Linked DNA regions of Pelodiscus sinensis. The protein of the gene in region 3 purifies or fractionates together with the protein of the main gene of each other region. This does not show direct contact. Links are inferred from orthologs where the notes say so. Each region holds a gene or a part of one and is shown on either strand. Other genes may lie near its edges.

Region 1 (7,814 bases), on a different chromosome or scaffold from region 3:
AAACAACTAATAGTCTTGTAGCACTTTAAAAACTAACAAAACATGTAGATGGTATTATCATGAACTTTCATGGGCACAGCCCACTTCTTCAGATGACTAGAGTGTTGCAAGTCCAGATGCTATTCTTGGTTCTGGACATCCAGCACTCCGGTCATCTGAAGAAGTGAGCTGTGCCCACAAAAGCTCAGATACCATCTACGTTTCCTTAGAACATAATGTTCATCCATCTAGCTTTTGACATTTCTTGCATTTGCATAAGTGAAGAGCTGAGCTATAATTGTCCCATAGCATTGTTGGATATATGCCTTAGCATATGTAGGCAAGAACGTGTAATACAATTTGACATGATTGCCCAACACACACCTAATGCTATATGTATTGTATTATCACAGAACCATAGACAATTAGAGTTGGAAGAGATCTCAGGAGATCATCTGCTCAAAGCAGGACCACCCCAAGTAAATATTATTATTACATTCTTAAATAATACAGTACACATCGGAATGCATTGGCTAACTTGATAGCAACTGCCCCATTTACTATGGATGCAACCTGAAAAGAGTTAAAACATTTCTGTAAAATCTTTAATACCTCTTGTGTTAACCTTATAGGTATTTAATCTTATCAACTCTTTCAAAAACTCCCCTATATGTTTATTGCCTTCATAATAATCCTTAATGACCTATGCATTCCATTTATCTACAGCAAAACAGATAATTCTGCAGGTAGCTTTACAGGGGTTTATGATAGGTTAGTGTGTTTTTCTGTTTGATGGATTTTCCTACTCATGCTCATCACTGGGTCATGATCTTTTGATAACATTCTAAAGTACTGCAATTATTCACATCACCTGATGTTTGTGTCACTTTGCACCCTATTAACTTTGCACTCTGATCTTGTACGTCTCAGGAGAGCGCTGTCTCTTTAAGCCAGTGGTTCCCAAACTTTTCAGCATCATGCCCCCTTTTTGATTTTTGAAAAACCCTCATGCCCTCCCCCCCCCCCCGCCCTCAAAAAATAGCAAAGCTTGTTGAGCAAAAGAAAAAGGAACTGACAGCACAGCAAAAACCTGATGGGAGAAGGGGCACTGGGTCGCCTCACCACCCCGCCTAGAATTTTTTCCCAGTTTGGGAACCCATGCTTTAAGCAAAACACTTAGGAAACTGAAGGCTTTTTTTTAAAGCTAGCAGGAACAACTGATAGTTTGCTCTATTCCCTAAATTGGCAGGAGGCGGGAGACACTCTGACATCATCTCTCTCTGCCTCTTATATGTACAGGAGGCAGCTTCTGGTCCAGAACAGCTTGGCCATGGGTGGCTCAATGTGGGGGGGGGGGGGGGGAGACGGGAGCAGCAGGGAGGCAGGAGGAAGAACACCTCTGCCCTGAATGAAGGCATGCAATGTTGCTCCCATGATAGGGTTGCCAGGTGTCCGGTATTGTACTGGACAGTTTGGTATTTGCACGCTCTGTCCAGTAAAAAAATTGGAAAATACCGGACACGTGCAATATCTGGTATTTTCTGATTTTTCCGGCTGCACACCGGACGGAAGCCTGGTGTGGGCACAGGGAGCGGCTGGGAGTCCCAGCTGGCAGGCGGGGCCGCAATTCCCTCGGGGAGCCCTCAGTCGATTGAGTGTGAGGAGGAGGGGAAACCTCCTCCTCGCTCGTGTGTCACTGGGAGCCTGTGCGGGACAGGCAGCAAGTGCCCTGGTCAGTCCCGGTCCCTGCCGGCCAATTTGCTCACCCCCCCACTTCCCGGCCGGCTGGTTCTCCCCCACTTCTCCTCCTGATTTTCCCTGGCCAGCCTCCCTGCATCCCACCCCCCCCCCCAACTCTGCTTCCCGCCAGCCCGTTCCTCTTCCTGATCTCCCCTGGCCAGCGCCGCTGCACCCTTCCCATCAGCTCTGCTTCCCAACCCCCTTCCTCCCGGCCCCCCTTCCTCCCAGCCAGCGCTGCAGCACCCCCCCCCTACCAGCTCTGCTTCCCGCTCCCCCTTCCTCCCGGCCACCCTCGAGGCCCCCGATCCCCCCCAACTGTGTTTCCCATCCCCCCCTTACTCCTGGCCAGCCCCGCCCCCTCCCGGCCATTTCCCCCTCCCCTGATATCCCGCAGCCAGCCCCGTTCTGCCTAACCCCCCCCCCCCCCATGACCAGCCCTGCTTCCCGTTGGCCCCCCCATCTTCCCTGGCCAGCCCCATTGCCCCCCCCTCCTGTTAGCTGTTTCCAGGCCCCCCCCCCCCCCTTTCCGGCCAGTACCGCTCCCTTCCTGGCCAGTCCCCATCCCCCCAATGAAGCGTGTCTGGTTTTTTTTTTTTTTTTTTAAATGACTACCTGGTAACCTCTAGCAGTGATCCAGGTTCTTGGAGGTTTTTTTTTTTTTTTTGCTCAACAACTTTGGTTCCTCCTCCCCCCTGCTTTTTTTTCCTTCAACAAAAATTTTTCCTGGTGTTTTTTTCTGGGGGTTGGGGGGAGGGTGTTTGGTATTTTTGTTTCAGCCATCTGGCAACCTTATCCATGAGCATAGTGCCCTGGTATGTGATTAAGGCTTGCTTAAAAAAACAAGCATGAAAGGTAAGGGACTCTTGTCTGGGAGCATGAGAACCATTTGCGCACACTAGCACGATCAGGGACAGCGGCTAGTAAGTTTAGAGCCTGTCCCAATGTGTGGGATCAAAGGTGGTAGTGTGAGGCTGCTATTGCCACACAGGAGGAGCAAACAGTGTGACCCACTGACTCTTTTGCCATTGCAGTTCCTGGTAAAGACCTGCAGCTCCATGGATACTGGTTTTTATCTGTGGAGATCATATCCTCATTTGTGGATATACATTTTGTATCCATGTAGGACTAAAAAAGGAAAGCCACATAGTTTACCTTGGTGGAAGAGAGAGACTCTTAAGAATCAGGCTCCTCCTGGAGCCTGTTCCAGAGCCGGGGACATTGCACCCATCCTGTCAGTCTGTGATATCTACTCACTCCAGAAATGAACAAACAGCTGTGTGCAATTATGCAATTAAGTCAAAACTTCATGCAGTATGCTGCAGATACATTAGCATCAGCCCTGAGCTGCTGTTAGGCAACCATAGCATAGGCAGCTGGGCAGGACACTCCTCGTTTTAGTGCACTTCACTTACCTCTTCCTAGCCTTGTTCTGATCCTTTCTGCAGGCTCCCAACACAGTTGGCTGCAGCAGCCTGGTGAGCCTTCCTTCAGAGAGGATCTAATAACTTAAAAGTGAAAAAGCCTTCCAGCTGGCTAGACCTATTAGCACAAGATTAGAAAATGTTAGAGCCATTAAAGTGGTAATACAGCCATTTAACAGGCATTTGCCAACTTCCAGGCACATACTTTTTGTTGCTGAATTTACTGACAAAAACAGTTGTGCCTTACTGTAATTTCTCAAGACAAAGTTAGTCTACAGGACCTTAGTTTAAAATCTGTGTTAAAAAAATTAATTAGGGCATTACTGAAGATGCAAATCCTTGCACTGATTTTTTAGATGCACTATCCTGGGTATTTATCTTTGGCCATAAGTGCTTGGATATTCAGTCATATAGCTTGTAAAATAAATCCTTCAGCAGACCACGATTATCTAAAATACATATGTGAGCATGGGCCTACTGTTGGGCACAGGGGCACCACTGGAATACTACTACTGAGTGGGGCCCTGCATCAGCCCAGTGACCTTGCTACTGCTCCAAGGAAACGACTGACTTCTACAACATTTCAGAACACAACCTTGGAACCTCTAGGCCACCCTGGCCGATGGGCAGAGGCTCCCAAGGGGCAGGCCATTTACTTCTCCCCAGGAGACTAGGTGCTTCCAAGTGACTTGTCCCAGATGGGGGTGTGCCGAGTGCCAACTGCCCTTCAGGGCAAGCACAAGCTGGGCTGCCAACTCCGACTGACTGGTAGGATTGCCAGATGGTTGAAACAAAAATACTGAACACCCCCCCCCAAAAAAAAACCCAGGAAATTCTGTTTAAGGGGAAAAAAAGGGGGGAGACCAAAGTTGTTGAGCAAAAAAAAAGGGACGCCGAGGACTTAAGCCAAATTTTTTTTTTTTAAATAAAACAGCATTACAACAGGATGTCCCCTTTAAGAGTGAGTTCAGGGATAGGAACAGGGTAGCAGTTGAGCACTAAGACCCAGGCACTTTCCCTAGGTCTTTTGGCCTGCAGCTATTTTATGCCAGGTAAGCATGGGGGCTGTGGGCTTGTGGGGAAGGCCGGGTGCTCAGCATTTTCACCTCCTGGCCAGGGGAAAAAAATCAGAGAATACCAGATAGCTCAGGTGTCTGGTATTCTCTGAATTTTTTATGGACAGGAGGTGAAAATACTGGACTGTTCAGGTGAATAGTGGACACCTGGCAACCCTACGACCAGCTGCCAATGCAGCACATAGTAGCGGGTCTAGGAGAGTTAGCCACTCTAGGTGCAAGTGCCAGGGGCTGCAGGGAGAGGGGCTCAGCAGGGCACACCAACCCCTGGCTCAGTGCACACACGAGCCTTCACCCACCCACTGGAAAAGTTCTCCAGCCTCTTCCAGCCATCAACCACCCAAGGGACGGCCAGCATTGCGCATGCGCAGCCCCCTGCCGGCTGCGCTGCTCAGGCACGTTCCGCGGAGCTGCTCTTTCAAGGTCTCCTTATTTGCTGTCCGCCGACTCGCAGCCCTCTCCTTTAAATGCCACCTCCCCTTTAACATCGCCGCCTTCCACCCGTGGGCGGGGTCGGATTTGGCGCGAAAACCTTCCCGGGGAAAACCTCTGGAATGGGCGGAGCGCGGGGCGCGGCGGCCGCTGATTGGTCGGCGGTGGCGCCCGCCAGCCACGTGGGCTGTGTCCGCCGCGCGCGACTTGTGTGCCTTGTCCCGGCTTGGTGCGGGGGGAGGCTGAGCTCGCGCGCGCCATGGACTTAGCGGCTGGGGATGGGGGGGCCGCGCCCCAGCAGCTCCGCGATGAGGTGGCGGAGAAGTGCCAGAAGCTGTTCCAGGACTTCCTGGAGGAGTAAGTGCCCCGCGCCAGCCCCCCTCCCCTCGGGAGCCACGGGGATTGGGGGTGCGCGGCGGCTCCGAGGCCCACGAGCCGCCTGTGACGCGGGGGCGTGTCCCGACCGGCCCGTGCAACCGCCTCTGCCCGCGCGCGCTGCTGGGGGGGGGGGGGAGGGTCGCGCGTCTCCCTGCGCTGGGGCGGCCTCTCTCCCCTACAAGCAGGCGCGCCTCGGCGCGTTCAGTCGCCGCTCTCCTGGCAGCGGCGTGTCCCCCTTCGGTCTGACGGGGTGTGTGCGGGGGGGGGGTGCATCTTCCCTTTGGGGTTGCTTCTGCTGGAGCAGTCCCTTGGGAAAGCCGAGCGTCGTCCCGGATGGCTCTACAAAGTGCTGCCTTCAGACTAGATTCCCTTCTGTCTTGCTCGCTTGCGCTTCGGTTTGTGCATTTCGGACAGCTCTGCGCAGCGGAGGTTTTTATTTTCGTACCATCGTTGTCTTGTACGAGGGTGCACCTATTACTGCTGTTAGCAAGACTGTTCCATCATTTCGGCCCAGATTTAAACGGCATTTAAATGTGGTGCAGTTACATTATTGGCGTCTCCTTTAAGTTATGTGTGAGTCTCCCAGCTTTTCTTCCTAATTATTGTCAGTAATACTTGTTTTCTAGCAATTGCTAAAGCTTAGAACAGTGTTCATCTCTTGGCTGTTTAAGTTTCGTTTTTCCACTTCTGAAGTTTGAATTAGTCCTCCAAGGAGTTTTGTATCAATCACAGGCTGTCACACAATCTTGGCCATAAAGAAGTAAAAACACATTTTACCTGTGTGTGTCATTGTAAAACCATAAGTAAAATGCTGTCTGGGGAATCAGGTATGTGAGACATTTGTATTAATTCACTTTGAAATCCCCATGTGTGGGTCAAAGGGGGAGGAGAAAAATTATTTTTGGCAGTGAGGTTTGCAAGTCCTACAGGTATATGGCTTTTTTCCCCCTCCTACCCACTTTACACAGGGCACAGCAGAACTATTCCATTGCTGCTTGCTATACAGTACTGCAAAACTTTCCCTAAAATACTGTCACTTTTAGATTCCAGAACAGTGATGGGGAAGTCAAATACTTGCATGATGCTGAAGAGCTAATTCGTCCAGAGAGGAACACATTAATTGTGAGCTTTGTGGACTTGGAGCAGTTCAATCAGCAGCTTTCTACCACTGTCCAGGAGGAGTTTTACAGGTAAGGCTCACCTAAGAACTGAACATCAGTGGTTGTTATTCAGGATGGACAGGAATGGTGTCTCTAGCTACTGTTTGTTAGAAGCTGGGAATGGGCAAAAGAGGCTGGATCACTTGATAGTTACCTGTTCTGTTGATTCCTCTGAGGCATCTGGCATTGGCAACTGTCAGAAGATACTGGGCTAGATGGACCTTTGGTCTGATCCAGTATGGCTGTTCTTAGGTTCTTAACATCACCTGGATATTACAGTTAAAAAACAGTTCAAATGTAATGGGAAAAATATCTGCTGACTGGCCCCATTACTAGCTCTGCCCACTTCAGGTGTAGTGTTCAGAACTATATTATCATCAAACATGATACAAATAGGCAATTGCATTTGTGTTGTGGGGAAAAGTAGATGGAACATTTGGAAATGCTAAATTAATCCACCCATCATAGTACTTGCTACTTTCAAATGTATTGGGCCAGTTGCTGTTTCCTAGTCTCAACATTTGAATCAGGCTAAGCTTGACCCTGAAGACTTAGTGAAATAAACTGTACTGAAATCTCTTTTTAGAATAAAGAGAATTAAAATTATGTAATCGTGTGATATTTCATGTTTGGCACATTTTTACTTGTTTACCTGTGTCTTGGCATACTATAAACCAAAGCTTGTACATATATGAGGAAGGCCTTTGATTGTAAAGGGGAAAGGAGTTTTGTATAACTTCAGTATAATGTGAAATTATTTTCTGTATTTCAGAGTTTATCCTTATCTGTGTCGAGCAGTAAAGACTTTTGCCAGAGATCATGGAAATGTTCCTCCAAACAAAGACTTTTATGTGGCATTCCAAGATCTACCTACCAGACACAAGTAAGATGCCTTTTAAAAAAATAATTGAAATCCATCGATGTGGGCTAAGCAAGCATAGTATAAAGAAGATCTGACAACAATAATGAGTAAGCAATGAAATTTAGAATTGAGATTAATGGATTCCAAGGCTAGAAAGGACCATTGTGATCATCTAGCCCAGTGGTCTCCAACCTTGTAAAGCACAAGATCACTTTTTGAATGCAAGTCAATCCAGGATCTATCTCCAACCTAAATATCCCTGCCAGGCTGTCTTCCCCATCGCTGAGGCTCTGCCTCTGCTTACTCTGGCTGTGTCTAGACTACATGACACTTCGAAATTGCAAATGAAGTGGGGATTTAAATATCTCACACTTCATTTGCATAATTGCATCATAGTGCTCTTTCGAAAAAAATGCCATTTTGAAAATAAAACTTCTTTTTCAAAAGAGCACTATGACGCGATTATGTGAATGAAGCACAGGATAATTAAATCCCCGCTTCATTTCAGTTTCGAAGTATCTAATTTACATCCCTCTGTCGAAAGAGGGATGTAATCTAGACGCAGCCCCAGTGGAGATGGGGATACCTTGATGTCAGCAGCCTCTCCCTGTGCCTTCCCCACCCTGCAGAGCAAGCAGGAGGCTCCAAAGATGCAGCTCCAATGTAGAGGGCAAGAGAAAAATGACCTGGATAGCCTCCTGGCCAAACCTGTCAGGATCACCTGTCAGAGGCTCCAGGATCTACCAGTAGATCTTAATTTACCGGT
Region 2 (7,147 bases), on a different chromosome or scaffold from region 3:
AACACACTCTAAAAAACCACTAGTCATAGCAACAGCATTGAAGATAAACAAGAAATTTACAAATTTAAGGTGATTGCAGCCTTAAATCTGTACTGGTTTATGTATTCTGGCCCAAGCTTTAGTTACTTAATCAAATACTATATCTCAAATTACGCAAAATAATATTTTTTTCTATATTCTTGAGGGCGCATCTTGTACAGCTCCCACATCTATTTTGTCAACTGTCTCACATACACGTTACTATAATACATAGCAATATCTAGCACTATAAAACAGTGTACAGATGCATCAGAAGTGGCAAAAAGGTATATTGTTTGAAAAAAGATATGAAAAACTATAATTTTTATTTATGGGACGTATTTCCTTGGTGTGAGATTCTTCTAACATGCAAGTTTCCTTTGCATTAGTGTGAAGTGTAGTGTTAATGCCAATGGGAAGAGGAAAAAAAAAAAAACCAAAGACTGCTTTTATCTCACACGCTTTTCAAATGGAAAATGTCCAGTGGCCCCACAATCATGAAGAAGCAAAAGCAATGAATAAATTGTATTAATATAGACTATAAGTACAGTGTCATTCTGAATCACACAGCAGATTTTGTGGTTTGGTCTTCAACCTCTGAACTACACAACCTAAATTACTATAGACAGAAAAAATAAATTGTTAACCAGTTTTAAAACGATAAACATTAATATAAAATGATGCCTCAATGTATTGTTTCTGTCAGGACTACTCAAGCAGCACTTTTTGTTAGAGTGAGCAACATAACAATTAAAAACAGAAAGCTGCAATAATAATTTAAGATGTATGTACCAAGTATCCCAATAATGACAGGTGAATAACTGAATCCGAAAGTACGCACAGTTCTAATGCTGGTAAACCCAGTGCAAACTTAAATAAATAAATATATATATATATATATACACACACACACACACACACACACACACACACATTATATATATAAAAACACACACACATGCCACTATCTTCTCTTATTGAAGAATTCACCCAGGAGGGGGGCAAGAGTACAAAATGCTTGCTACTTTATTTGGCATCTTTAACATATGCCATATACCCAACCTTTCCCTATATCTTCTGGAAAGTAATAATGCCAGTCTCAGATCCAGGAGCATGTGCAAAAGTCACAAGGAATGATGCAAGTCTAACAACTAAAAGCATGGAGATTGAGGACACACACTTACACATTTCAAGGGGCTGAATGTATTGTCAAGTCTTTAAATTGTTCACTGATAAAAACTTGCACTTCAACTTTTGTAGTACTGCACAAGTATCCTCTAAATAAAGCTATCCTACTTTTCTCTAAGCCCTTATTAGCTTATTTTAAGTTTGAAAGTTTTCAGCATGGCAACCAGTGTTCTCTACACAAGAGAGCAGAAGCACCCAATATTGAGGTCTTCGATACTCAATAAGATATCCAAGTCAAATTATACAACTGCTTAACATGCATAATTTCCCCTTTACAAATATATGCATGTGGGTATAAAAGTTCTCGAGCAACAACTGGTATACAGCAAGCAGTCATTTTAGTTAAAAAGCACTGAGCATTCCACTAGCTGTATAATTGCTACATCTTGTGGCAATGTATTTCAATGCAAGGAAGAAAAATGGACAATAACTGGAACAGCATAAGAAGAGACTTGTTTGCACATAACCTTCATACAGATATTCCCTGCAAACACCCACAACACCCTGCTCTCACTGTCGGTGTAACACAAGAGGGGAGGAGCAGGGGAGGGAGGAGAAAAATATTATCATCTAAGATGTGATGGAGGAAAGGAGAAAGTTGCAATCATTCTCTGGTGGTTTTAAGGTGTCGTGTCACTTCTGTCCTCCAAATTAGCTGCTCAGAGAAGTGTTTCCTCCCCGATGGGAACACATTCCTTGATCTCGGTCTCTTTTTCTACTCCACCTCCATGATGCCAAAAGGACCCGACCCTTTCCATTAAGCAACAACCGCCACATTCACCCAATACACCCAACAAATCACTTTTACTTTTGAAATGCGTGGTGGAAAATAAAATTTGGAAAGAAAAAGAACAGAAGATGCAAGCCTCCGCCATAAAAATCACAGAGAAGGGATAAAAAATTAGAAGAGGCTGAGGATTCTTGCTATAAAGATTGTCAGGGAAATGAACAAACATTAATCAATTCTCCTCCGTAGCCCTGGAAAAGGAAGGGGGTGGAGAGACTAGGAAGCCGCTTTTACTACTAACAAACAGAGACGGGGTGAAATTGCTGGATTTCCAGATGGGGTGTCTCCCGATTGCCCCTCAGGGGAAGGGAGGGTCCCCCACGGCAGGATCTGGGGGTCCCCGCTGTGCTGAAGGGAAATACCCCTGCATTGAGCACAAGTCTCCCGCCTGCCCTCACCCCCATTCACCGCGCACCCGGCCCTACGAGCCTGGGACTGGCCTCCGGCAGCGGCGGCGGCTGGGCCCCTCCCCGAAGACCGGGCCCCCCTCGCAGCGCCGTGGGCACGGAGCGCGCTATTTACCTTCCTTGGGCGGCTTGCCGGGCGGCGCGCTGTGCAGCAGGGAGGCCGCCGCCGCGGAGCAGCCCTGCAGGCTCGGTGGGGACGTGGAGAGCCGGGACCAAGATGGCGGCCCCTCCAAACTTCCACTGCTACTTTGGACACTCATCAAGCTACTTTCCTGGAGCCCGGCAGCCGCCGGGGGCGGCGGGGGAGGCGGCGCGGCGGGGGGACACCCAGCGCCGCGCTCATGGCCGGGGGGCCGGCCCGACACCGGGGAGAGGAGGCCGCTGCGGGGAGAGGGCTCCGGAGGCAGGCGGGGCGCGAAGGAGACAGGGCTCAGGGCCGGCGCAACCTGCCCGCACCTCTGCACTGCGTCGCCGCGGCCGCCGCCGAGCAGCCGCCTGTGTCTGAGGCTCAGGCTAACCTCCGCCGCCGGGAGGGGGGGAGGGAGCGGGGAGGGGTCATGCGCAAACACCACCGCCAGCGAGCGCCGCGCACCTCCAGCGCGCCGGGCCGGGGGACCGCACGTACACCTGCCCCGCCGGCCTGGCCAGCTCCGCGCTCACCCCGCACGCCACCCTGCCCGCTGCGCCGCCGCCCCGGGCCCCCCGCTGCCCGCCCGACACCCCGTCCGGTACCCTGCCCCCCCCCAACAGCCCGCCCGACACCCCCGCCCCCAGCGCCCTGCCCGGTACCCTGCCCCCCCCAACAGCCCGCCCGACACCCCCAGCGCCCTGCCCGGTACCCTGCCCCCCCCCAACAGCCCGCCCGACACCCCCAGCGCCCTGCCCGGTACCCTGCCCCCCCCAACAGCCCGCCCGACACCCCCGCCCCCAGCGCCCTGCCCGGTACCCTGACCCCCCCCAACAGCCCTCCCGACACCCCCGCCCCCAGCGCCCTGCCCGGTACCCTGCCCCACCCAACAGCCCGCCCGACACCCCCGCCCCCAGCGCCCTGCCCGGTACCCTGCCCCACCCAACAGCCCGCCCGACACCCCCGCCCGGTACCCTGACCCCCCCAACAGCCCGCCCGACACCCCCGCCCCCAGCGCCCTGCCCGGTACCCTGCCCCACCCAACAGCCCGCCCGACACCCCCGCCCGGTACCCTGACCCCCCCAACAGCCCGCCCGACACCCCCGCCCCCAGCGCCCTGCCCGGTACCCTGACCCCCCCCAACAGCCCGCCCGACACCCCCGCCCCCAGCGCCCTGCCCGGTACCCTGACCCCCCCCAACAGCCCGCCCGACACCCCCGCCCCCAGCGCCCTGCCCGGTACCCTGACCCCCCCAAAAGCCCGCCCGACACCCCCAGCGCCCTGCCCGGTACCCTGACCCCCCCAACAGCCCTCCTGACACCCCCAGCGCCCTGCCCGGTACCCTGACCCCCCCCAGCAGCCTGCCCGACACCCCCGCCCCCAGCGCCCTGCCCGGTACCCTGACCCCCCCAACAGCCCGTCCGACACCCCCGCCCCCAGCGCCCTGCCCGGTACCCTGACCCCCCCCAACAGCCCGCCCGACACCCCCGCCCCCAGCGCCCTGCCCGGTACCCTGACCCCCCCAACAGCCCGCCCGACACCCCCGTCCCCAGCCCGGTACCCTGGCCCCCCCAACAGCCCGCCCGACACCCCCCCAGCACCCTGCCTGGTACCCTGACCCCCCCCCAACTGCCCGCCCGACACCCCCCAGCACCGTGCCTGGTACCCTGACCCCCCTCACTGGTCGCCCAACACCCTCACAGCGCCCTGCCTGGTACCCTTACCCCCCTCTCACTGCCCGCCCGACACCCCACAACGCTCTGCCTGGTACCCTGGCCGCCCTCTCGCTGCCCTCCTGACACCTCGCAGCGCCCTGCCTGGTACCCTGCCCCCCGCTCACTGCCCGCCCAACACCCCCACAGCGCCCTGCCTGGTACCCTCACCCCCCCCCACTGCCCACCCAACACTCCCACAGTGCCCTGCCTGGTACCCTGACCTCCCTCTCACTGCCTGCCCGCCCCCCGACACCTCTGCACCGCCCTGCCTGGTACTCTGACCCCTTTATTGCCTGCCTGACACCCCCACATTGCCCTGCCTGGTACTCTGACCCCCTCTTACTGCCTGCCTGCCCAATCCCCAACACCTCCACATTGCCCTGCCTGGTACTTTGACCCCCTCTCACTGCACGCCTGCCGATACCCCCACATTCCCCTGCCTAGTAGTCTGACCCCTCTCACTGCCCTTCCTCTCCCGGGCGGCTGCCCTGAACACCTCTCCTCACACTGTCCTGCCACTGCACTGACTTCCTGTCTCACACCACCCTCTTTGTTACTCTAACAACTTTAACTGACACTGCCCTGTCACCTACCCTGACCCACTCCACACACTGACCTGCAACACCATACACTAACCCCGTAACAGCATCCTGGCAGCTGCCCTGATGACCCCTCCCCGCCCACCACCACATACACAGTATAGATCCTTATGTTGCCCAGGTCCCATAGACAATACACTACACTACAACCCCTCATACCAACTTCCTACTGACTTAATGCCCCCCCCACTACATCCTCCCTGCTGCTGTGAGCTGCCCACTTCACACTGCACTGATCTGCCACCACCACACAACCCTGTCTCCTGCCCTGACCCCACACAATCAATACACTAGACGCCCCTCATATGACTTTGTCTGCTGCATTCACCCCACTCCCACAACACACTACAGTCCCTCTCACTAGTTTGCTTGCTGCCCTGACTCCTCCACCTCACACTGTTCTGCCTGCTGCATTGACCTTCACACTACCCTGACCCCACACATGCACTACAGTTCTTCACACCACCCTGTTTGCTGCTCGGATGCCCCTACCTCACATCACTCTGCCTACTGAACTAATGCCACACGATTCAGTTCCCCACCTCACAACATACTACATGCTGTCTTGACACACCCTCTCACCATCCTACCTGCTGTACTGACCCCCCCACACACACACACACGCTACAGGCCCCAATTGCTGCACTCACTCTACACACGCTACAATCCTTCACACAACCTTGCGTGCTGCACTGATCCCCCCCACACACACGCTACAGCCCCTCACACAGCCCTGCCTGCTGACTGACCTGATACATACACTACAGCTGCAAATACCTCACACCACACAGCCTCCTGTCCTGACCTGTCCCACAAAAATAATACAACCCCTCCCCCTGCCTCACCTGCTGCGCTACTCCCACACTTATGCACAATGTCACACTTCCCTGACTCCTACGACACACATACAGCCACCCACACCTTACCCAGCCCTACCTGCTATACAGACTCCATGCACACAACCTGCACCTCACACAGCCATGCCTGCTACCTTGACCTCCCCCATGCACCAAAGAGTCCTGCCTGCTTCAGCCACGCCAATTTACATAACCCTGTTTTCTGCATTGACCTTCCTGCCAAACATACCCCACCATCCTTGCCCCACTCTGTCACATAATACAGCTGTGTCTGCTGCATGAACCCTATCACCTCTCTATCTAATCCAGCTGTATCTGCTGTACTGATCCTGCTGTGTGACTCTTTCCCTACATGCAGCTCAATCCTACCTAGCCATCTGCTCCTAACACATCTGCACAGACTCCACCATATACAGACATCACCATCACCACTTATCCACATCCCACAATGCCACTTACATTTTCCTCCTCATGTCTTCTCGAAACACATCTCCGACTCAATGCCTATGAGAAATCAGACAGTTACAGATAGTGGGTAGTTTGTCTAATTATAAAAATAATAATAACAATATTCCAAATGTATTCACAAATTGCATATATTTGTTTCTGTTTCTTGAGACCTTTTATTTGTCACATGAATTCATAGATTGTAAATGCTGCAGGACACAAACCATCTCTAGGTGGAAGCCACTGGCCAGGGAGTTGCTTGGCATAAGGAGGTGGGATACGGTGTAGAGAGCAGTGTGGCAGGGCTTCTTGGCAGTGCAGGGATGGGGTTGGGAGCACAGTGGGGAGGGAAGTGCAGGAGTTAGGGTTGAAGGCAGCACTGTGCAGAGGTTAGGGTCAAAGTGGGCACAATGCAGGGGTTTGTGGCAAAGGAGGCACAATATGGGACTGCAGGACATGGGGAGCCCATAGGTATCAGGAGAAAAGGGTGGTGCCAAACACGGGTTCACCCAGGAAGAAATTTTCCCTAGGGCCAGTTCTGCCCCATAGGTCATGTTTTCTAGACATTTCTTCATTTTTGCTGCTCTTCTGTATACCTTTTACAGTTTCTCTCAATTTTTCCCGAAATGTGGTGTCCAGAACTGGATACAATACTCCAATTGAGGCCTAATCAGTGCAGAGTAGAGTGGGAGAATTACATCTCATGTCTTGTTTACAACACTCCTGCTAGTACATCCCAGAATGATACCGTTTTTTGCAAAAATATTCCTCTGTTCACTTATATTTAGTTTGTGGTCCACTGAGATTCCTAGATCGCTTTTCGCAGTACTCCTTCCCAGGTAGTCATTTCCCATTTTGTGTGTGTAAAACTGATTGGTCCTTCCTAATTGAAGTACTTTGCATTTGCACTTACTGAATTTCATCCTGTTTATCTCAAACCATTTCTCCATTGTATTCAGATCATTTTGAACTGTAATCCAATCCTTCAAAGCACTTGCAACC
Region 3 (7,938 bases):
AGAGCAAGGGACCAGCACTGGCAGCCCGCAGTGTCTCTGCGTGGAGGGGAGCCGCGCTCACTGTGGACAGGGCTCAGAGACAGAGCCGGGGCCCACCTCTCCAGGAGAGGGGGATTGTTTCCTTCTGTTTTCATTTGTCTCCTTCGCCTCTTTCTTTCCCACTTCCTGCGGGGAGGCATGTTCCAGACTCTGTACTCCAGGGCTCCAGGCTCTGGGACACTGGGCCAGCCCCTTGACACGCCACCCAGCGCCCCCCACTCTCACCCATTCCACTGTGCTCCAAACAGCCAGGGAAATGACCTAGGATTTAATAGCTTCCCATGTGGACAAACTCCAAGCTGATCAATGCCAGACATGCTGGCTCCTTCCCTGCCGGGCAGTCCTGCGGCTACTTCCCGCACACTGGGCTGGAGCAGCTGGGGCTGGACATAGGAGGCTGGCGGGGAAGCAGGGGGGACCTGTGGGGACCAGCCCCTGGGGCCTGGAGCTCAGGGGAGGGAGGCTAATTCTCTGAGTAGCACTGGCAGAGCCGGGGGTGGGGAGCCCAGGGCAGGGCTGTGTTAGGGGCTCTGGAAAGTACCCTTGTAAATGTGCCCTGGATATTGGCTGGGAGTGAGGCCATGAAGCCAGAGCCCAGCGAAATGGCTCCGGGTCCCACTGGGCTTTTGGGATCAGTGTGTGTGTAGGGGGGTGGGGGTCTGGCTCTGGCTCCAAGGGCTGTTGGCCCTGAAGGGGCTGGCATGTGTTGTCTCCGGGGGGAGGAGGGAACAAGCAGCCGCAGCCTCCCAGACTCCACTACCTGCAATTAACGGCCTTGTCTTCATTAGACACAGTTACATGGTAATTATCATGAAGCCACCTCCTGCTGAGCATCCCTTGTGCCCCCCAAACCTGCCCGCTCTCTGTCATGGCCTGGGGCACTGCTGGGAGGAACAAAGGGGGTTGTGGGTCAGGACTGAGGGGCACTGGAAGAGCTGGGGGGAGGGAAGCAGGGGGCTGTGGGTCAGGACTGAGGGGCACTGGAAGAGCTGGGGGGAGGGGAGCAGGGGGTTGTGGGTCAGGACTGAGGGGCACTGGAAGAGCTGGGGGGAGGGGAGCAGGGGGCTGTGGGTCAGGACTGAGGGGCACTGGAAGAGCTGGGGGGAGGGGAGCAGGGGGCTGTGGGTCAGGACTGAGGGGCACTGGAAGAGCTGGGGGGAGGGGAGCAGGGGGTTGTGGGTCAGGACTGAGGGGCACTGGAAGAGCTGGGGGGAGGGAAGCAGGGGGCTGTGGGTCAGGACTGAGGGGCACTGGAAGAGCTGGGGGGAGGGAAGCAGGCGGCTGTGGGTCGGGACCGACCAGCACTGGCAGAGCTGGTGGGAGGGGAGCAGCGGGCTGCAGCAGGCCGTTGGTGGGGGGCTACTCCCCAACACCAGTTGCCTGTTCACATCCCTGCTGGTGGCAGAGTTCACGTTGGGCCTGGACTGTGACGAATTCAAAGGGGCTTCTCCCTAGAGGCTGCAGGTCACAGCCTGACCCTTGGGGGTCAATGGGCTCCCCGTCTGTGCTGCCCCATGTCCCTGCTAGCAGTGCCCTATGTATCAGCCTAGTCATAGATGGACCTTCTGTCCCAGGGTCCCAATCAGCCCGGCCATGCCCTGACACGTCAGCAATCGCTGCCCCCATCAGATCCCAGGCCAGGGACCCGCCTCAGAACCCCCTGATAACCTGGCAGGAACTAGAGAAACCCACAGACCGAGCCAGAGAGCAGAGGGATGGGCAGCGTCAAGTGTGGGAGACCGGTACTTGGGGGAATGCTGAAAGCGAGGGGGGAAGAGTGGGCGGGGGGGGGGGGGGCTTGTCATGTGTGGAGGTGGATGGAGGAAGGAGGGAGGGATGGCTGAGTGGGGAGGCAAAAGAGGGAGGGATGGGTCTGGGGGTGATGAGTGTGGGTTGAGTGGGGGATTTGGGCGCAGAGGTGGATGGAGGGAGGATGGGGAGTGGGGGTGATGGAGTGGGAGGGCAGGTGTGGGGGGACACAGGGATGCAGAGTGTGCCACATGTGGAGGTGGATGGAGGAGGGAGGATGAGACAGTGAGGGGTGCTAGAGCGGGTGGGCAGGGGTAGGGCTGTGGGGGGACACAGGGGTACAGTGTGCCACATGTGGAGGTGGATGGAGGAGGGAGGATGAGGCAGTGGGGGGGTGCTAGAGCGGGTGGGCAGGGGTAGAGCTGTGGGGGGACACAGGGGTACAGTGTGCCACATGTGGAGGTGGATGGAGGAGGGAGGATGAGGCAGTGGGGGGGTGCTAGAGCGGGTGGGCAGGGGTAGAGCTGTGGGGGGACACAGGGGTACAGTGTGCCACATGTGGAGGTGGATGGAGGAGGGAGGATGAGGCAGTGGGGGGGTGCTAGAGCGGGTGGGCAGGGGTAGGGCTGTGGGGGGACACAGGGGTACAGTGTGCCACATGTGGAGGTGGATGGAGGAGGGGAGACGGGGGTGTGAAATGTCAGTGATTCCCCTCTCCCAGCTCTGGGGATGAATGTCCCACCCCCCTCGCCCCTGGCAATGGCTCTCCGCTTCCACTTTGCCTCCCCTACCTCCACTCACTGCCCCACACCTGGACCCTGCTGGCGCCTGCCCCACTGGGCTCTCAGCTGGATGGTGAGGCGAAGGCGCCACCTGCCAGCCATGGGGGGAATGGCACCGGCGGCCATGTCACTGGTGGGGGGATGTCGGGAAGGGGCGGGGTGAGTGCAGTGAGAGTGAATGGTGGGAGCCCTGGGCTCCCCCCAGCTCTGCCGGTGCCCCTCACTCTTGATCACAGCCCTGTTGGCCCATTCAGGGCTCCTCCCACCCAGCTCTGCTCCTCCAAAAACAAAAAGTGCCATCACAGTGTATCTGAGCTCTCCCTTCTGCATCCAACCTGCCATGCCAGGCATCTGGGGCATGGGGGTGGGGAGCGCGCCAGGCCCAGGGCTGGGAGCTCCTGCTTTCAGCAGAACGAGACGAACTGGCAGGGCTGACAAGCTGTCAGGTGCACGGAGGATCCCTGGCTGCAACTCCGGCTCCCCCAGCCGGCCGGGGCCAAAGGGGAGCTGGGGAGGGAGCCTGGTGATGGATCCAATCGATCGCGGCTGCTCCGGGGCTGCTCACTCCGACAGCTCGGTGCGGGGAGACACGCTGAGCCCACCCCCTTGTCTCGCATGGCTGCCGGGCGCCTGCCTGTCAGTGGTATGATGAGCCCCTCCCCTTGTTCCATCTGGTTTGGATAGTGGCCTCCTCAGGGAAGGGCGCGGGAGTTTGGCCTGGTCTAGGTTGGAGAGCCTGCACACTGCTACCAGACAATCTGCCCCCATCTATACCCCTCTCTCCATCTCCCACCCCATCTCTCCTTCTCCCCCACTTCATTCCTGCATCCACACCCCTCTCCCATCCCCTCACCCACTCCATGCTTCCCTCTTCAGTCACACAGCAACTCTGTGCAGGATAGCTCACCCAGTGCTGAAATGCAGCTATGTCTGGGGAGAGGCACAGCAGACGTGTAGCAGCCTGCACAGCGGTAGCGACATATGGGACTGGGCTTAGCAGCAACACAGCAGACCAGGCGAGCAGGGAATCCAGCCCAATCTGCAGGAGGGGCAATTGAGGGAGGCAGACTGAAGTGGGGGGTAAATGCTGTGAGTCAGGAGGGGGCACTCTGCTCTCTACTCTCCCCAATCCCTGCACCACAACTCTGTCTAGCACCACACTGGGGCCAGCACCGACCCGTCAGGAACAGTACCTCTTGCTGCGCCCCTACTCTGCCCCCTGCCCTACAGCACCCCCTGCTGAGCCCCCGCCCTGCTCCCTGCCCCACAGCGCCCCCTGCTGAGCCCCCGCCCTTCTCCCTGCCCCACAGCACCCCCTGCTGAGCCCCGCCCTGCTCCCTGCCCTACAACACCCCCTGCTGAGCTCCCACCCTGCTCCCTGCCCCACAGCGCCCCCTGTTGAGCCCCTGCCCTGCCCACAGCGCCCCCTGCTGAGCCCCTGCCCTGCTCCCTGCCCACAGCGCCCCCTGTTGAGCCCCAGCCCTGCTCCCTGCCCTACAGTGCTCCCTGCTGAGCCCCTGCCCTGCTCCCTGCCCCACAGCACCCCCTGCTGAGCCCCCGCCCTTCTCCCTGCCCCACAGCGCCCCCTGCTGAGCCCCGCCCTGCTCCCTTCTCCACAGCGCCCCCTGCTGAACCCCCGCCCTTCTCCCTGCCCTATAGCACCCCCTGCTGAGCCCCGCCCTGCTCCCTGCCCCACAGCGCCCCCTGCTGAACCCCCGCCCTGCTCCCTGCCCCACAGCGCCCCCTGCTGAGCTCCCGTCCTGCTCCCTGCCCCACAGCGCCCCCTGCTGAACCCCCGCCCTGCTCCCTGCCCCACAGCGCCCCCTGCTGAACCCCCGCCCTGCTCCCTGCCCCACAGCACCCCCTGCTGAACCCCCGCCCTGCTCCCTGCCCCACAGCGCCCCCTGTTGAGCCCCTCTCGTGGATCCCACCCACCGGCGCAGGAAAGTAACGCCCGCTCCTGCATGGCCCTGTAGAGTCCAGGCCCCGCCCCCTACAGTCCTACCAATCCAGGCTCCTCCTCTGATTACCCAGCGTCTCCCCCCTCCTCCCGGCTAGTGAGTGGCCGTCTTTGTCCCAAAAACTGTCGCCCACGCTGATTGGTGGGGAGGAAAGTGGGTCGGGTGCGGATTGGCTGCATCCGGCTCCCGCCAGGGCAGGAGCGGGGAAAGCCGATTGGCGTATGTGGGGAAGGGCGTGGCGACTGGCAGGAAGTGGGCGGGCCGGGTGGGGGATTGGTTCCCGGCGCGAAGTGCGAGGATTGGCGGGGGCGTAGCAAGGCGCAGGCGAGGATTGGCGCAGGCCGGCGGGCGGCGCGCGCTGATTGGCCGGCGGCGCGCGCGGCAGGGACAAGGGCCGGCGCGGGCGGCGCGGGGCGGCGGCTTTTGTGGCGCGCGGCGGGTTCGGGTCCCGCTCCCGCCGGCGGCATGTCCCGCGTGTCCGTGCTGGGCGTGTCGGTGCTGGAGAACCCGAGCCCGTTCGGCCGCCCGCTCCGCTTCCAGGTGCAGTTCGAGTGCGGGGAGGCGCTGCCGCACGGTGAGTTCGGGCCCCCTCCCCCCGCGCGCTGGGGAGGGGGTCTCCCCTCTGGCGGGGGGGGGCTTCATGGGCGGGGCTATTCCCCCCCCGGGGGTCGGACTCCAGGGCGCCTGGCAGCGGGGTCCAGGCCGTGCCCGCTGGTCCCTACGCCTGGCCAGGAGCCGGGACGCCTGGGGTCTCTGCCACTGACGTGCTGTGGCCCTGGTCACGTCCCTTCCGGGCTCTAACATGGAGGGAGCTGATTGCCTCACCGTCCCGGGGCTGCGAAGTGCAGGGAGCCTGGACCCTGCCACACACACGCCGGGTGTTTTAAAAAGGCTGCTGGGTTGGCCCCTCTGCCAGGGAGGGTGGCCAGATGCTCTGTCTTGGGCAGGCTCCTCTTCCCCACCCTCCATCTCTTGGCCTGATTGTTCACTCTGGTCGCCTTGTTGTCAGGCCCTCAGAGGCTGAGAGCGCCGTGTGAATTTAAACGCATCGTAATGTCCCCATTGTAAATGCCTGCACAGGCGAAGAGTCTGGAGCTAGATGTGGCCATTTGGGAGAACTGGGCATGAGGAGAAAGCCAGGTGCCTTTTAAGGATGCCCCCATGTTCTACATCTGATCTGGAGATCTTCTCAGCATGCTGCAGAGAGCTCTTTGGTGTTGAAATAACCTAGCTGAGCTAGCCTGATTAACCCTGCTCGTATAACCGTGCCCCTTACCAGTAGGGACAGGACTCGTACCTGGCTGCCGGGGGAATTCTGCTTGCAAACTTCTGCTTGCTTGTTGCCAGTTATGGAATGATTAGAAGAGGTGCTGCTGATGGGGGAGAATCAGGTGTGCCCAGCATTTCTGAAAGCAGGCTATTCATAGCTTAGTTTGGTGGCCAGAGTATCCTTCTGGTCTGGATACTTCAAGGGGCAAAATATCTGCCTTTTGTTGATTAATGGAGTCCAGACTAATTTGGGCCAATGTTCCTGGGTTGAATATTTGCCACTGATAAACATGTGAACGGGACACTACTTAACATGGTGGCTCTGAAAGGTGGCTGTTGGTTTGTAGTTCTTTGTGTGCCCTCCCCCAGTAACATTTCCCATCCAAAAGACTCTTTTGAGGCATCTCTTGGGAGGCTGGTTTCTCTTCTCGAAGAAAGGAGCCCAGGGTTCGAAGAGAATCTTTCTGGGGGGTGTTGGGATAATGTGAATGTGAGATGTCAAATCCCAGAGCGACATTGTCATGCAAGCGTACCTTGCAAAGCCCTCTATGGCCTAAACTGTGAGCCTCTTCACTTCAGGGGGTATCAGAGCTGTGGAGTGGTGGCAGCCAAATCTCTCCACTGTCTTTGAGGCTAAAAAATTGGCATGTCTCACTGGCTTTACAGTTTGAAAATTAGCTGTCTGCAGAGTCTGAGCACAGCCCTGCTGAGCCAAGGGGACAGGAGCTTTGACAGCTGTTGGACTCCCTGTCCTCTTTAAAGCTTCAGGGGGTAGCAGACCATTTGTTGTTTTTTAAGTTCATCCTCTTTGAGGCCATCATCCAGGTTGTGGGAGAGGAGGGGAGGGGGGGGATGCGTGCGCACACAGCACCACCACCTACATAGCCTGCCTTACTCAGCAGGGTTTTTTGGGGGGGTACAGGGGTGCCCCACAGGATTTTTTCCCAAATAGGACGCACCATGCTGTGCTGGGAAACCTGTCTGCAGAATCTCACCAGTGCAGGGAGGGGCGAGTGTTGGTCCTCCATCTGACTGAAATTCCTTGCTCTTAAGGGCTTATGTGGGATTGTCCCCCACTATTCCCTATTCTAGGAGCTCTAGCCCCATTCCCGGGGTTTGAGAGTATATGCAGCTGTTTGCTCCTTGAGGAAGGCTTCCCTGCATGAGGAACCTACTCTAGTCTGTTATGTAATGTAATCTATGGCTGGCACATCCCCCTTTCTTGTAAATTTATAGAGCATCTGTGTGAAAAGCTGTTTCTGATTTGTTATGAGAATGTCCCCTTAATCCAAACCCCCTCTGCTGCGTGACATCACTTTGCCTGGTAAAAGCTACCCTGACCCAGTCTAGGGATATAAGTGACTAGTCGAGTAGTTCAGGGGATCTCAAACTTGTGATACCGTGACATCCCCCCCGAGTTGCTCGTGACCCCCCGGGGGGGTCAGGTCCCACAGTTTGAAAAATGCTGGAGTAGTTGATTACCTGATAAGCCTAGGGTTATTGGGTAGTCGAGTCACTACTCTACTAGTTGCTTCCCCCCCCCAGCTGCCTCTGTATCAGAGGCAGCGGGGGGGGGGGGGGGGGCAGGAGCCAGTGCTGAGAGAGCTGGTTTCCCCTCCTCCAGCTGGCTTTTTCCGCAGGGAGGCAGATGCCAACGTTGGGGACCTAGTTCGTTCCCTAGCGGCTCTTACTACATTTAAAAAGCAGAGCCACAGTGAACCCCATTCTCGACTAATCGAGTAGTTGATTCTGTCGACTACTCGATTAGGGATGTTAAATAGTGGTTAGTAAGCTAATCCAGTCTCCTAGAAAGTACATGCATGTTACATGGAACACTTCCCTCTGGTGTGGAAGTGGAAATGCCACTCTCCCCTCCCCCCAATACACACACACACACACACACACACACACACACACACACACACACACACACACACACACACACACACACACACACACACACCCCTAATCCTTCGAGCTTTGTCTGTGCTTGGGGGCATAGGCCTGGCATTGGCTCAGACTTAGACATGTCTGAGTGTGTCTTTTGCCAAAGCTCAGCACCCACCCAAACCTAAGAGGCTCAGAGTTGAAACTCCTCCCTTTGAACGGACAGTTTGGCAGCCCTGGTACCTGTATTG

The links.
Region 1: the proteins of ASF1B (region 3) and MCM6 purify together in Homo sapiens (affinity purification with mass spectrometry; 4 studies listed by BioGRID and IntAct, counting the BioPlex papers as one, with this or other methods). This does not show direct contact. The link is inferred for Pelodiscus sinensis from reciprocal best matches to the Homo sapiens genes ASF1B and MCM6.
Region 2: the proteins of ASF1B (region 3) and TLK1 purify together in Homo sapiens (co-immunoprecipitation; 3 studies listed by BioGRID and IntAct, counting the BioPlex papers as one, with this or other methods). This does not show direct contact. The link is inferred for Pelodiscus sinensis from reciprocal best matches to the Homo sapiens genes ASF1B and TLK1.

The regions. Positions count from the first base shown.
Region 1 is NC_134717.1:17,813,285-17,821,098, reverse strand, and holds the start of MCM6 (DNA replication licensing factor MCM6), read left to right. Parts: upstream 1-4,802; 5' UTR 4,803-4,907; coding exon 4,908-5,005; intron 5,006-6,069; coding exon 6,070-6,216; intron 6,217-6,958; coding exon 6,959-7,069; intron 7,070-7,814. UniProt on the Homo sapiens protein: Acts as a component of the MCM2-7 complex (MCM complex) which is the replicative helicase essential for 'once per cell cycle' DNA replication initiation and elongation in eukaryotic cells.
Region 2 is NC_134717.1:41,040,849-41,047,995, forward strand, and holds the start of TLK1 (serine/threonine-protein kinase tousled-like 1), read right to left. Parts: upstream 3,013-7,147; 5' UTR 2,661-3,012; coding exon 2,516-2,660; intron 1-2,515. UniProt on the Homo sapiens protein: Rapidly and transiently inhibited by phosphorylation following the generation of DNA double-stranded breaks during S-phase. This is cell cycle checkpoint and ATM-pathway dependent and appears to regulate processes involved in chromatin assembly.
Region 3 is NC_134729.1:10,142,169-10,150,106, reverse strand, and holds the start of ASF1B (histone chaperone ASF1B), read left to right. Parts: upstream 1-4,910; 5' UTR 4,911-4,996; coding exon 4,997-5,105; intron 5,106-7,938. UniProt on the Homo sapiens protein: Histone chaperone that facilitates histone deposition and histone exchange and removal during nucleosome assembly and disassembly. Cooperates with chromatin assembly factor 1 (CAF-1) to promote replication-dependent chromatin assembly.